Linked DNA regions of Drosophila melanogaster. The gene in region 1 interacts genetically with each later gene. Each region holds a gene or a part of one and is shown on either strand. Other genes may lie near its edges.

The links.
Region 2: of rl (region 1) and csw, changing one suppresses a phenotype caused by changing the other (phenotypic suppression), as found in Drosophila melanogaster (3 studies listed by BioGRID).

The regions. Positions count from the first base shown.
Region 1 is NT_033778.4:1,068,572-1,076,292, reverse strand, and holds the start of rl (rolled), read right to left. Parts: upstream 4,319-7,721; 5' UTR 4,248-4,318; exon of another isoform or gene 4,043-4,247; 5' UTR 4,012-4,042; coding exon 3,854-4,011; intron 2,022-3,853; exon of another isoform or gene 1,952-2,021; coding exon of another isoform or gene 1,929-1,951; intron 1-1,928. UniProt on the Drosophila melanogaster protein: Serine/threonine kinase which acts as an essential component of the MAP kinase signal transduction pathway to regulate proliferation, differentiation and effect cell fate decisions in various tissues.
Region 2 is NC_004354.4:2,100,666-2,106,310, reverse strand, and holds the start of csw (corkscrew), read right to left. Parts: upstream 4,023-5,645; 5' UTR 3,165-4,022; coding exon 2,536-3,164; intron 1-2,535. UniProt on the Drosophila melanogaster protein: Required in all receptor tyrosine kinase signaling pathways. Functions downstream of the receptor tyrosine kinase torso, acting in concert with D-Raf via tailless.

The sequences.
Region 1 (7,721 bases):
ATTTCGCTTTTTTCAAATTTTTTTTTTTAAATCGCAATAACATCGTTTGCCCACCCTTTAGAATTTTGAAAAAATTTATACTTTAGAAAATATAAGGCTTTTAAGTTTACCTCTGTCTAATCAGAGAGTAAATCGTTTGCCCATCTCTTAAAACCAAATATTATCAACAAAAAACGTTTGCCCAACCATTATTATTAGTTTTTATCGTTTGCCCACCCTTTAAAAAACCTTTAACAAAAAATTTTTTTTCGATTGCCCAATTTCGATTGGCAAACGAAAAAAACAAATTTTAAAGGGTGGGCAAACGAAATAATTTATTTTTAAAGGGTGGGCAAACGTTAAAAATGAATTTTAAAGGATGGGCAAACGAAATTATTTAGTTTTAAAAGGTGGGCAATCGAAATTATTTAGTTTTAAGAGTGGGCAAACGAAAAAAACAAATTTTAAAGGGTGGGCAAACGAAATAATTTATTTTTAAAGGGTGGGCAAACGTTAAAAATGAATTTCAAAGGATGGGCAAACGAAATTATTTAGTTTTAAAAGGTGGGCAATCGAAATTATTTATTTTTAAATGGTGGGCAAACGTTTTTTATTGGAAATTTTTATTTTAAAGAGGTGGGCTAACGAAATTGGGTGTATTTTAAATGTGGGCAATCGAAAAAAATTTTTGTTAAAGGTTTTTTAAAGGGTGGGCAAACGATAAAAACTAATAATAATGGTTGGGCAAACGTTTTTTGTTGATAATATTTGGTTTTAAGAGATGGGCAAACGATTTACTCTCTGATTAGACCGAGGTAAACTTAAAAGCCTTATATTTTCTAAAGTATACATTTTTTCAAAATTCTAAAGGGTGGGCAAACGTGGTCAAACGATGTTATTGCGATTTAAAAAAAAAATTTGAAAAAAACGAAATTTTTGATTTTCGAACATTTTCGAACTTTTTCGAAAATTTATATCTCAAAAACTGGACGTGGGCAAAAAAACTAATTGGTGGGCAAACATGGGCAAAAATGGGCAAACGATTCCAGCTTTCAAATTTTAAAAATTCGATTTTTCCGACCCCAGCTTCTTTGAGCTATGTTACCGTCCAATTTTTATCGAAGCAAAAATAAAGTTAAATATTATCAAAATGCTGTAGCTTACCGAATTAGAACACTATTTGAATAAAAACATCTATAATATAATAACTTTATGTTCTGCTATATGATTTAGTAGTTTGATTTTTAGCATATATGAACTAATAAGCATTGGAACAAATTTTCAACAGGCGAAAGCCTTGGATTGCTATAAGAAAGTGGACAAGAAAAAAAAAGAAGCAGCGGGTTCATTAGAAATACATTATGATTTGAAACGCTTAATGAATATAGTAAATGAATGTATAGTAAACCATGTTATTAATAACGCCACAAGAGAGCGTGAAAAAAGAGAGCATGGAGATCAATACAATTAATGTGTCCAGTCGGTGTTGAGATCAACACAGGGAACCACCACAAACTTTTGTAAACTCATTTAAGTTTAATATTACACTCACATATTTCGCGAAATATTATTTTAAAATAAACATTTATAATAATACAACGTCGTCGCAGAAATGAATTTCGTTAAACAGGACCCTGGGACAATTTTTAGGGCTTAGTAGGAATTATTTACAAAATCACTCATAATTTAAGTGGCATGCAAAGAGTAATAACTTTTGTGCTATGTAGTTAAAGAAATTACAAATAACTCTGGTGTGGAAAACAAAGATAAGAAAGAAAAGAAAGGCAAAAAAAATTGCAAAGAAAACAATTGGTGTGATATTAATCCTGATAAAGAATATATATACTTTATGTGGTCGGAAACGCTTTCTTCTGCCTGTCACATACATTTCAACGAATCTAGTAAAATACGCATGTAAAATAATTAGGAATGATATCGCTATGGAAGACCTAATAACTAAGGCAGACTCCATAGATGTTCTCCAACAGTCCCAAGATGGATTAGGTCCAAGAAATGTTCGTCATTAAGGATTTATGCACATTCTGTTAAAATAAATTAGAACAAATAATAGGATATGGTGGTGAATTCCGATTTTTTATAGCAGAACAGCGACAAATAAGGAATATATTTAAGTATTCCTTTGTACAGCCAAATAGCTATAAACTTAAAAGAAGAACTTTTTTGGACCGATTCAATGCGATCCGATTGAGGTACGTATACTCAAGAATCGAACGGACTAGCGAAATGAATAAGGTTTTGGTGCTGTAATGATCATTTAATTCCTTTGACCTCCTTTTTATTAAACCAAGCACACCCCTGCCTTATTGACAATAGTCGAAATATGATCTGAAAAACTTTAGTTTAAGGTCCAGAAGAACACTAAAATCAGCAACCAATGTTATATCAAAGACACTAGAATAACAAGATGCGTAACGGCCATACATTGGTTTGCAACTATGCAGCCACACATATGGCTCGATATCCAATTAAATAATAAGCTATAGCGTAACAAGCAACGCCAGCAAAATTAAATTTAGCCGCCGGGCTTCGAATTCCTGTCCGCCCTAAATTTCCTCACCAATACCAATACCAATCAACATCTCATAATATCTATCCACAATAAGAAACCCTCTCACCAACCACTTCCCAATTATTTAACTTATATGGATGCCCACTCACATCGGCATATCCGCCAACGAATACGCCGACAAAACAGCTAAAGATGCCCACAGATACGCCCTTGTACACTCCTCAAATTACAACTGTGACGACTTTTCTCAATTTTCCCTGGTATGAGCTCATCCTTCAAGCTACAACACTACATAACACAATAAGAAAACACAAATCCTAATAAAAAGGCTCAGGCTTGGACACACCAACCTTACCAATGCCCACTACATGAACTGACCCCTCCCCAAAATATGCTCTCTTCAGTCAATCAACCCCATTTGCTACCCACCTCAAAACTCCAACCTAATCAAAAAACATAAAACTATAATTTAAAATTAAAAGAAACTAAAAAAAAAAACAAAATGTCCGCTTTTTAAATATTTTATAAGAATATAACAAAATAATTCAACTAAATATTTTTTATTTTTAAATACTGAAAAATGAAATGTTGCCATGCCCACTCTCCGCCCAAAACTGCAACTGCAACTTTTAAAAAATGTGTTGATTTTTTATTTTTGAAAATGTAGGTTCCAAATTTACTTTTAATGAATGAATGAATAATCCCTAATTATGTCCAAAAGCATTAGAAAAAGGTATAAAGGCACCGAGTAAAAGAGTACTTTAACAAGCAAATCCAAGTTTAGCGAGAAATTGTATTGCGTTGAACAACCGATCGACCGGTAAACGAAAGTTTTGTGCGCAGCGTTTAAAAGCAAGCAATATGACTCAGAAGCTATTGACTTTCCTTTATTTATAAAGTCCATCGGCCAATTTAGGCTTTTGCATGAAAACAAACTCGGTTGTGTCGACCCTTAAAGATTGATTTTGTCAAAGAAAAAGCAAAACTAAGCCACGTTTAGAGAAAAAGAAAGAAATCAAAAATTTGAGAAACTATTTCGTTGTTAAGTGTTTCACAGCTTAGTACTGCGTATGATTGATGTGAATAAATTTAATGCATTTTCGAAAAATAACATTGATTCAGCAATACCATGTATGCGAACTTACAGCAAAGGACTTGAACAAAATGTATTACTTGATATAAAATCAAGAGAACACGGTTCTGAGTATTACTGCATTTCGGAAGGAGAACCGCAAGATAAAAAAAAAACTATGAATAATGGACAAAGGAACAACAAGAAAGAGGTGTGCAAACACTGTAGATTAAAAACGGCTTCAAAAATAAAAATAGGTATTAGGTACTTACACAACCATGCCATAAGCTCCTTCACCTATATAGGCGAGTTTAATATACCTAGGACCAACTTCAAATATTTGTCCCCTTATAACTTCAGCATTAGATTGAGGAACTTCCGTAGATCCTGTACCATTAACTACTGATCCGCTCGAATTAAATTCCTCCATGACTAACGTTTCTTCTGGAAAACTTGAAATACTACTAAAGATGTTATGATACAAAATACACCGTATCTGCAAAATTCGCAATGTATGTATGCGTGGATTGTAATAACACTTTTACAACTGAATATGTCCCACTTTATCTTATTTAAGTGAACAGCAATAAGTGCAAAATCTTTATTTACTTTATTATGAATTTAACCAAAAGTCTATAACTTAAGATATGAATATATAAACTCAACTTTTTTTTACTCTTTAGACAAATGCGTAAATATGATTTATCAAAATCGACGGCGTAAAACATTAATAATATGTTAAGATAACGACACTGGTCAATGTTTATCCGATCCAATTATAATCGGATCCCAAAAGGTACATCAGTCTTTTGGCAGCCACAATTTCCACAATTAATATTAAATAATATAATAATTTAAAAATGATCAGTCATTGCGTAAGACATTTTTTTATTTAAAAATTGGTATTAAAGGAGGAAATTGATCATCACATATTAACCTGATGTTGGGTTAAATATATTTTTGGACATTTTTCAATGGGAGCGCAGAAATAAAAACCTTTTGACTTAGTGTTATATTCCTAATTTAAGCTATTATTGCCCATTAAAATAAAACAAGAAAGCAGGCATGTGCCATCTTCTGCTGTGTGACCTAACAGATGTAAATTCAGCGTAAACGGAACTAAAAGTACTGTTCCCACCATTAAGACGTGACTACAAACCAATGTAGAATATACATATTAACACGAAAGCAGAAATTAAATGTTTAATTAAGAGAAAACAAATCCTTTAATTGCTTTTTTATTATATTATAATAAAATTTCTTAACAGCTCACTACTCAGAAGCATATACAAATGTACAGCTAACTAAATGTAGTTTGCCCACTACAGAAAATTCAGCAGTGTTGCAACGGAGGATGATTGATGATCGAACATTCTTTTTAAACAAAATACTATCAGATGTCAAAAACTTTATATTTTTACATTAAAAAATCCGAATGTACTTAAATATATTTGTTACTCTTAAGGTGATATCCGAAGTAAATGCTACGTACGCCAAGTATATAAGTTTACAGAAATCGTGAAAAATATGTCTATGACAGCTATTTATTTTATGAATTAATGAAATACCATGGTTTTAGGTATAAGTGTAGGTTTAATTTTTTTAATTAATGTAGGTTTATTTTATAACATGACCTTTTCCTTATTAACAATTTATTTCATTCTTAGAATACATTTCAGTTTAACTCGCATGACGGAGCGGGTACAAGTGTAGCACCGCAAAGAGCGACTGCAAAGCTAGCACATTGTTTAAAATGCCCAACTCAGTTGATGTCTAGTTTTAGTATATAGTTTAGTTTAGTTTGTGTATGGAGTTTTGGGATTTTGTTTAACAGCCGTCAGACTGCAAAACTTGTGTTTGGTCGGCGCTGCCGCAGTCCAGACGTCAGTCGTTGCCGTTGTTGGCGCAATAAGTTGCGCAGGAACCAGTGATTTTGATATAATTCATTTGTATTATCTATTAAAGAAGAAGTGGGTCCAACGTGAATGGACTTAGAGAGCACAGAAAGAACTTATTAAGACTCATAAATAAATTCAAATATATCTTTACTTTAAAAATTTCAACTTTAATTTCCTTTATCATTTTTCTTTTGTTCAATTTTAATTGTCAGGGAAAACAATGCTTAAGAACTTTGGTTTACCCTTGGACACAATTATTTTCAAAAATGAAGACATTCTTAAATTAAGTAATGGTGAGGTAAAATTATATGGAGGAACACAGTAAGCGTCCAACTTCGGTTGATCATCTGTCCCTGTCGAATTTCTTAACTTAACTTTGTAAATTACAGTTTGTGTTTGTTAGTTTCAAACGCTTTGGAATATAGAGATGCAAACTTTTAAGAAAACTCTAACCCCGGTTCACTAATTTCGTTCTGGAAAAGTGTTTTATGGACAGATGTAAGTTCTTTCGAGAATAACTCGTTAAAAAAAGCTGCAGCTTCACTTAAACTTATTTATTTAGGTATTAAAGGCTTGTCAAAATACTTATGCCAATACAAAAAATAATCATATTACATTAACTTGTCTATATCGTTTGTTAATTTTTATGTTTATATTACTTACACCCAACAAATAAAAAATAATCATTATTATCATATTAAGTCATTTTAAAATTTTACTGCCAACAGTGTGTGTAGTGCCGACTAGTGTGTTCTGTGACTGAGCAGAAATGTTTGGTGGCGATAGCAGCTATGCGAAATTTCAGAGATTTTAACTGATCATGTCTCGCCGATGTTGCTCACGATTTGCTCGATGGTCGTTGACATTTCAAAAATATCGTTTTAAAATTGGACATCGTAAGGGTACTTTAAACGCTGTTCCGGATTCTTTATCGCGTTAAACGAAGATGAAAAAGCAGCTGTAAGTCTGGAAGGTTTTTTTCGCTTACTTGAACTCTGAAAAATGTATGTGCCTGGATTACTAGGATTTATTAGCAAACGTTAATGCGAATAAAAACCAATAATGATAAGTATGCATTAAAACTATGTATACTCACTGAATTAGTATCAAAAGTGATATCCCAAGCGCACAATAGTCAGTTAGCTTCTTATATATATATTAGTATTAGTATACTAGGCTCGTTAAAAAGTATGTATCGGGCAGAAGGAAGCGTTTCCGACCATATAAGGGAACTATTAAAGCTAGAAGGTTCAGATTCGAGAGACATAGAGTTATACTTATGCCAATAGACGCAGCGCAAGTTTGTTGACCCATGTTGCCACGACCGCTCAAACGCCGCACAAAGCTGCCATGCCTACACTTTTGAAAAAAGTCCACTGCCATCAGCCGATTTATCAAAATAATTCCAAATAGTCGATTGCCCAATTTTAATTCGCTTATGTGTGACCATACCTTCGACATCGCTATCTTCTTCTTGCCAGGCAAGAAAAAAATTACATTACAAACCATATGATTCTAGAATGCCATGCCAGTAGGTATCACAAGGGTATCAACCACCTGGTGGTACGCGCCGTAATTGTGATACACTGCTGGAAGTGCAACTACATTCTCCAGGCGAGGGCGACTCTAAACAGGCTCTTAGTTAGGTCATGTCTCTGCTAAGAGTGCTGGCTAATCGTAGTTTGGCTGGAGCTGGCCCGGGATGGCCCTAACCGTAAGGCGCTGTGCAGGGCCAGAACGAAGTGGTATCTAAGTTACCTTCAGCAGGGCAAGTCACCTGCGGAAGCTTTGTTTTTGGCCAAGACACCGCAGCCGCTAGAGCAAAGGCCCAACTCTGCTTCGAAGCGGGCAAACTCGACCTTGACGCCTCCGACGGAAACGACTAAGAGGCAGAAGGTGGAGAAGAGCAGGCCATCGATTGCTCCTTTCGATGGCCCAAGTACCTCAAGGGCTGCAAAGGCAACATAGGTACGCAAGTCATCATATGCGGACCATTAAAGTTGCGGTCGTACCAGAGGGGTACCCCAAGGTCGTCCTCAGTAGTGAGGACCTGTCACAACTCGAGGACGCACTACTGGAGGAGATAGTCCTCTCTGGTTCGGATTCTCCACTTAAGTTTAGAGGAATCCACTTCAGGGTGGGTCACCTGATAGTGGACGCAACGCAACCACTGCTGAGTGGCTGCAATTAGCAGTCCACAGCCTCAGTAAGTGGAGCGGTTTCTCCCTGGAGGTAAAGATGG
Region 2 (5,645 bases), on another chromosome or scaffold:
TGCGTATTGTTGGCCGATCGCTTGTTTGCGATCGCCGTAGTTAAAATGATTCGGATTCGTGGACGCATCGCCCTCTGCCGTCTGACCCCGTGCAATCGAGTTGAACTTAGCAATTATCGCAGCCCACATCGATCATATCGCTGATATCCTTTGTGTCATTCTGCCGAACTGCGGTGCTGCCAAACTGTGTCTCCGTCTCCACCCATATTTCGGTGTTTATCTTTAAATTTAGCACTGTGACGATAATACAAAGCAACACAAATTACTTCTGTTGCGCTCTCACTCAGCGATTTAAATCGGGCAGACTGGGGGTTAAAAATACAAGCAGATGGAATTACCATCACCCGAGTACGTCAGTGAAAATTTTGCACCTTTTTGCATCATTTACAGTTACACTTACAGCAGCGAATGCGAATGTGGCGTATTTGTATTTACCATACGGAGGAAGCTGCGCGCCATTCATGAAAGCGCCGCTAAGGTCAACAAACAGATTTACATGCACACACGAATATGTGCAGCGTATTCGTACACAATATCCGAATACATATACAAATCCCCCCCTCAGTGTTTTAGTCGTTTCGTTTGTCACAGGTTTATTTTGCTTTTCGTGTGGCAACGCACCTGGAAAGGCGGCAGCGAAACGACTGGTATTGGGGTTACGAGGTGGAGCGCGGAAGCAGGGGAACGAGGCCTTCAATTAATTAACTCAAAAGTCGGCAAGATACTTATTGAATTATCGAATGAGCTGCTTGCCCCTACCCTAACCGCCCACTCGCAAGCAGTGTGTGAAGTAGTAGTACAGTCTATTCAAAACATAATATTTTTTGAACAGTTCAAACTGTTAAAATAAGCATATAAACGATATGTCAAGTTGGAGAACTGGACGGGGAAAAGTACTAGTTGGGGAGAGTCTGGGATAGAATTGTAAAATTTCCATGGAGTTACAACCCCAGAACAAAGCCCTCCCCCCCATAATTGGGCCTTTCCACTGAGAGCATCTTGTAGTCGGCCGACGTTATGAATTTGCACAAATTAAACGCTTTTATTTGATCAGTAGCCACAGCTCACGGTTGTGCAACGGACAAATAAACGGAAATATGCAAAACAGAAGGCAGCGCTCGAAATCCATTACGGGAAATGTAATTTCATAAATCGTTAATCAGCCTTATGGCGAGAAGAAAAACCATCGGAAGGTTAATAGTTCTACAAGGCGGAGGGCAGAGGACGGCGGTGCCCCATTGTTGACCTAGTGAGTGTGACAAGTGAAATCCGGAAATCACGCAGCTTAAGCTGTCAAAGCTATTGGCACATCATCTTCAGATCATTTGGCATGATGTGCGTTTTAGGATAACGACGAAAAGATCGCCCTAAAGCAGGATACCTATAAAAGCTGAGCATAAATTAGAAAAACAAAGATCAAGTTAACGAGCCAATCAACACGTTCAGCGATTATGAATCCGTTGCGATAAAAATCAAAATAAATAAATAAGCAACAACCGAAACCGACTGCACTACCAATCCGAGCTCAACTAAAAGTCAAAGATAATTTATGGGACATAATAATAGTCCAGCAGATACATATGCGATTGTTTTCTGGGTGTACTGTGCGAATCGAGATCGCCAAGATGGGGCCAGCCCACACAAACAATCGGACGGCACATGGCACAGCCGGGCAGATAAACACCAAGATCAGACACGGAGTGGGATGGAATCTTTGGGGAATGTGGACGACGGACAGCGCAACAGCGGGACATGGGTAAACATTCCGGGCGCGAGTGAAGAGATAATTCCGATCTGGCAGTGGGCCAAGATACGATGTCTGCAGTGGGCAATTCGCCGAACTCTCCCGGTTCTACAAGTGCGTAATTTAGCCAGTGCCTAACCAATAACTCAATCTTCAGCTCTAAATGAAAGAACCAATATCGAAACACAACTTGACAACGGGCCAATTGTGTGGGGGGGGTTGATATGTTGATATGTGACCATATTTGAGTGGCGATCTGAGCTGGGCCCCCTGCCATTTGCCATTCCACTCCCTTCACTTCACTTCGGCATTTGACAGTCGGAAATTCATTCATATTAGAACGTCAATTTACGATTGCTTGTTTTCGAGTCGAATGCTTTGCGTAAATATTTACTCATTTTGCGTGGCAATTCTGAACACATGACAGTATGTGCTGCGCTGATTTTTTTTTTTTTTTGCTTTGTTGCGGCGTCAACTGCCTGTGATTGCCTGCCTTATTAGGGTTAATGTTGATGGGCAGCAGATTGTCTCCAGATTTCCCGCGAATCATCTGCTACTCCGCGACATGTGACTGACAGGCGGGGCGACATACTACGATGCGATGGTAGCTCAAAATACCATTTCACCTGCTACGGGGTATCGTTTAGTTGGCAGCCTGACAACTTCATTACTCGCACTCCAATAACAATTAGTGCCTAATTTCGCACGCGCCCCAAATTAGCAGAACGCTGCTCTTTTTCTAACACTCTGGACTGGACTGCTGTCGTTTTTTTTGGGCGACCTGAACTTACGTGTAACCATGGAGCTGGACGCGCATGGTGGCCAAGAGGGACAGTGTGCTGTTGGAGCAGCTGGCGCCGCCGAAGGCGGCTGGGAACTGGGGCGGTGTGGCTGTCCAGGAGGTGGGCGTGGCCGGGTAGGAAGCCTGCGGGCTGGGTGTAAGACGGTGCAGAGATTCCGTCGATGTGGAGGCGGAGGCAGCGGCGGAGGGTTGGGCGGAGAGAGGACGACGTCTGCGCTGCAGTCGGTTGTCTCGATTACGTTGCGCGTCAGCGCCCTTGGCCACGCCCTTTATGATCTGGGCCAGCTCGTCGTGGGTCATACAGTTCTTGCAGGCCGGCTCCTGGGCCTCGGGTGTCTCCGTTGGTGGGGTGACCTTTGCTTTCCGACCCTTGCTGGCCTTGAACTTGCCGCTCCTTTCGCGCTCCTCCGAGCGTCTTCCCTTGCTTCCGTAGTGCGCCTGTATGGCTCTTTCGTACTCAAAGTTTCGCTGATTGTTGTAGGCATTGTTGTTGTTTAGCGTATTGTTATTGTTATTGTTGATATTGTTGTTGTTGTAGACTTGTTTCTCTTGCAGCTTGTGATTGACCACATTGCCCAGCGAGCTGGACAACTTTTCCAGACATTTGTTGAACAGCATTTTCTTCACACTCGTTTTCTCGCACACACCAAAACAAAAAGAAGCTTAGATAGTAGTATTCCACTGCGGAAAAATGCGTCTCGGCTGGGGTGTTTTTTTATTATTTTTTTTTTATTTTGTTATTGTTTTTGTTTTATGTAACAACTTGCCCACACACACGAACACACACTGAAAGCACAAAAACTAGAATTCTTGGTTTTTGTTTTTTGCCGCTGTTTGTTGTGCTTCTCTGTTTGCTTTTTATTGATCTTAGTCAGCTCGATTAGGGGAAATGTCTACAGTTTGTCAAATAGAGTGCTGTTTACCCCGCATTCGTTTATTATTGCACAATCTTCTTGAGAGCCAGCAACAGCTTCTTTTCGTACGACTTGACATTGATGGCCTTGGCCACGGTGGTGCTGCTGCTGTTGATGGTGCTGGTGGGTTTGACCTCTGCTGGGGATGCGGCCTGCTCGTCGAGTCGCGATTGTGCCGCCATCAAATGCTCCAGGACAAATGTGGCTGAAGGCATAATTTTCGCGCTTTGCCTTCGAATAACAAAAACACTCGATGGAACTTGTACTGGCGCCCAGTAGAAATGAAACGAACTGCTTGCCGCTCGACGACGAACGGCGACTGCTTGCGAGCTGAGCTGCTAACCCGTTGGATCACAACTCGAGAATGAAGCGCCTGCTGCCGAGTCTGAAGCTTTTTGCCTCGGATTCGAAATCGCAATCGGAATCGAAATCGGATTCTTGACGTTGTCTCAGCGCGGCTCCTCTCTTTGCGATTCGATTCTTCCGCTCTCTCTTAGTGGCTATATCTCTCGGACGGGAGCTGTGGCCTGGTGGTGTTCTAAGCGCTGGGGTATGAATGAATCTGAATCTTGACTGGCTGCGGACGGCGCTTTTTGTTTTTAAATCCAGCCGGCGCTCTGGTTAGCCCTTCCTGTCGATCTCGTGGGTGGGTGTTTTTATTTATGGGCTTTATTTACTGTCAGCGAGCCAGAAGTCACAAACAAATACAAAAAAAAACACAGTAAATAAAACGGAGCGAAAGACGTAACTTTGAAATTGATTGGCAGTGGGTGTGTGCACAGCTTTCCCCTGGGCTCCTGTTTCAGTATCATCAAACTGCTTGGGCCCCTCAGCGGGCGCCACTTAATTGTAGCCATCCTGTGGACGCCACTTACGGTTTATTCAGAAAGCGAAAGCACTTTGAATTGCAATCAACATTGTAAAAAATTACACTTTTACTTTTCATTTACTTTCAATTAAGTGCTAGAGCCAGGCTAATACCTATAAATATGTATAGCGGGCTCCACTCTATGTTTATTTCGTAATGACTGTACTCCTGGATGAGTCATGGAGTTCATCGCAATCAGAATCCGAATCATACACATTTCGAAAAGCAGGCACATAAGATTAATTCCAATCCGAAAATGGTCATTTCGTGATATGAGTGTGTTGTTGGCTTGTAAGAAAGCAAATACAAAAAGCGCTTTTAGCGCCGTCCGTTGCCTGCCACCGGAAATGAAACTGAAGCCGCACAGCAACTACTGTGGCGGCCATCTAGGCAAGGAACTGGGTTTGCTGGGGGGCAGGTGGGTTGGTGGGCAGGTGGGCAGGTTGGTAGTTGGGTAAGTGGGAGCTAGAAGCGAGCAGTGCCAAAGCTCTCTTACAGCGCAGGCGCAGACGTCAGAGGTGCGAACGTGCGCAGAATATCTTTTTTTTTTTTTTGGCCAGCAAAACAAAATCGTTCGACGTGCGACAGCCTGCGAACTGCGATCTAGCAACACTTTACTTCCAGCCTCGTATTCATGCCTCCCAACGATGACGAACTATTTTTTTTTTTTCCAACATTTCGTCATTGTTTTTTCGCTGGAAACCAACTAGAACTTGTTACCCAAACCACATTCAAAATCCACTCAATGGAAATTGTCTCCGAAGTGTTCGATCAAAATTGAAAATGCTCAGCTCAAACCAGTCGGGGAAACCCCATGTAGCTATGCATGCATGCATCAATGCAAACAGGATGTTCCAGGCCAGGTGGACCAGATCCGTGGAAACCACATGGGGCTTCTGGGCGCAGTTAGGTGTCGGTTAAGAATATTAGTCATTGCAATGGCAAATGCAAGACGAGAAGTGCATTAAAAGTGAGTAGAGATGATTTGAGCTACCTGATTGCTATCGATACAGAATTAAGAGCGAGGCCAACATTGGCCATTCGCAAGTTTAAGTTCTTAGAAATGATCGGGTAACGCAATTTAGAAGTGGCATTGACCAATAGCCTACCCAACGTGTTTACATTACGTATGGAATTACTAAAAGTTCCGGCGAAGTAGTGAGTGCCGTGAGTGCCGCCCTACCCAGAAATAAACTTGATCGGTACCAGTTGCCAGAGCGACAGCCCAGTCCCAGTATCCCCAGTGCTCCATTCCTGAGCTCCGCGACCTTGGCTATCCCGATTTCGTTGCTGGAGACCCAGACCGCATTTGGGCAC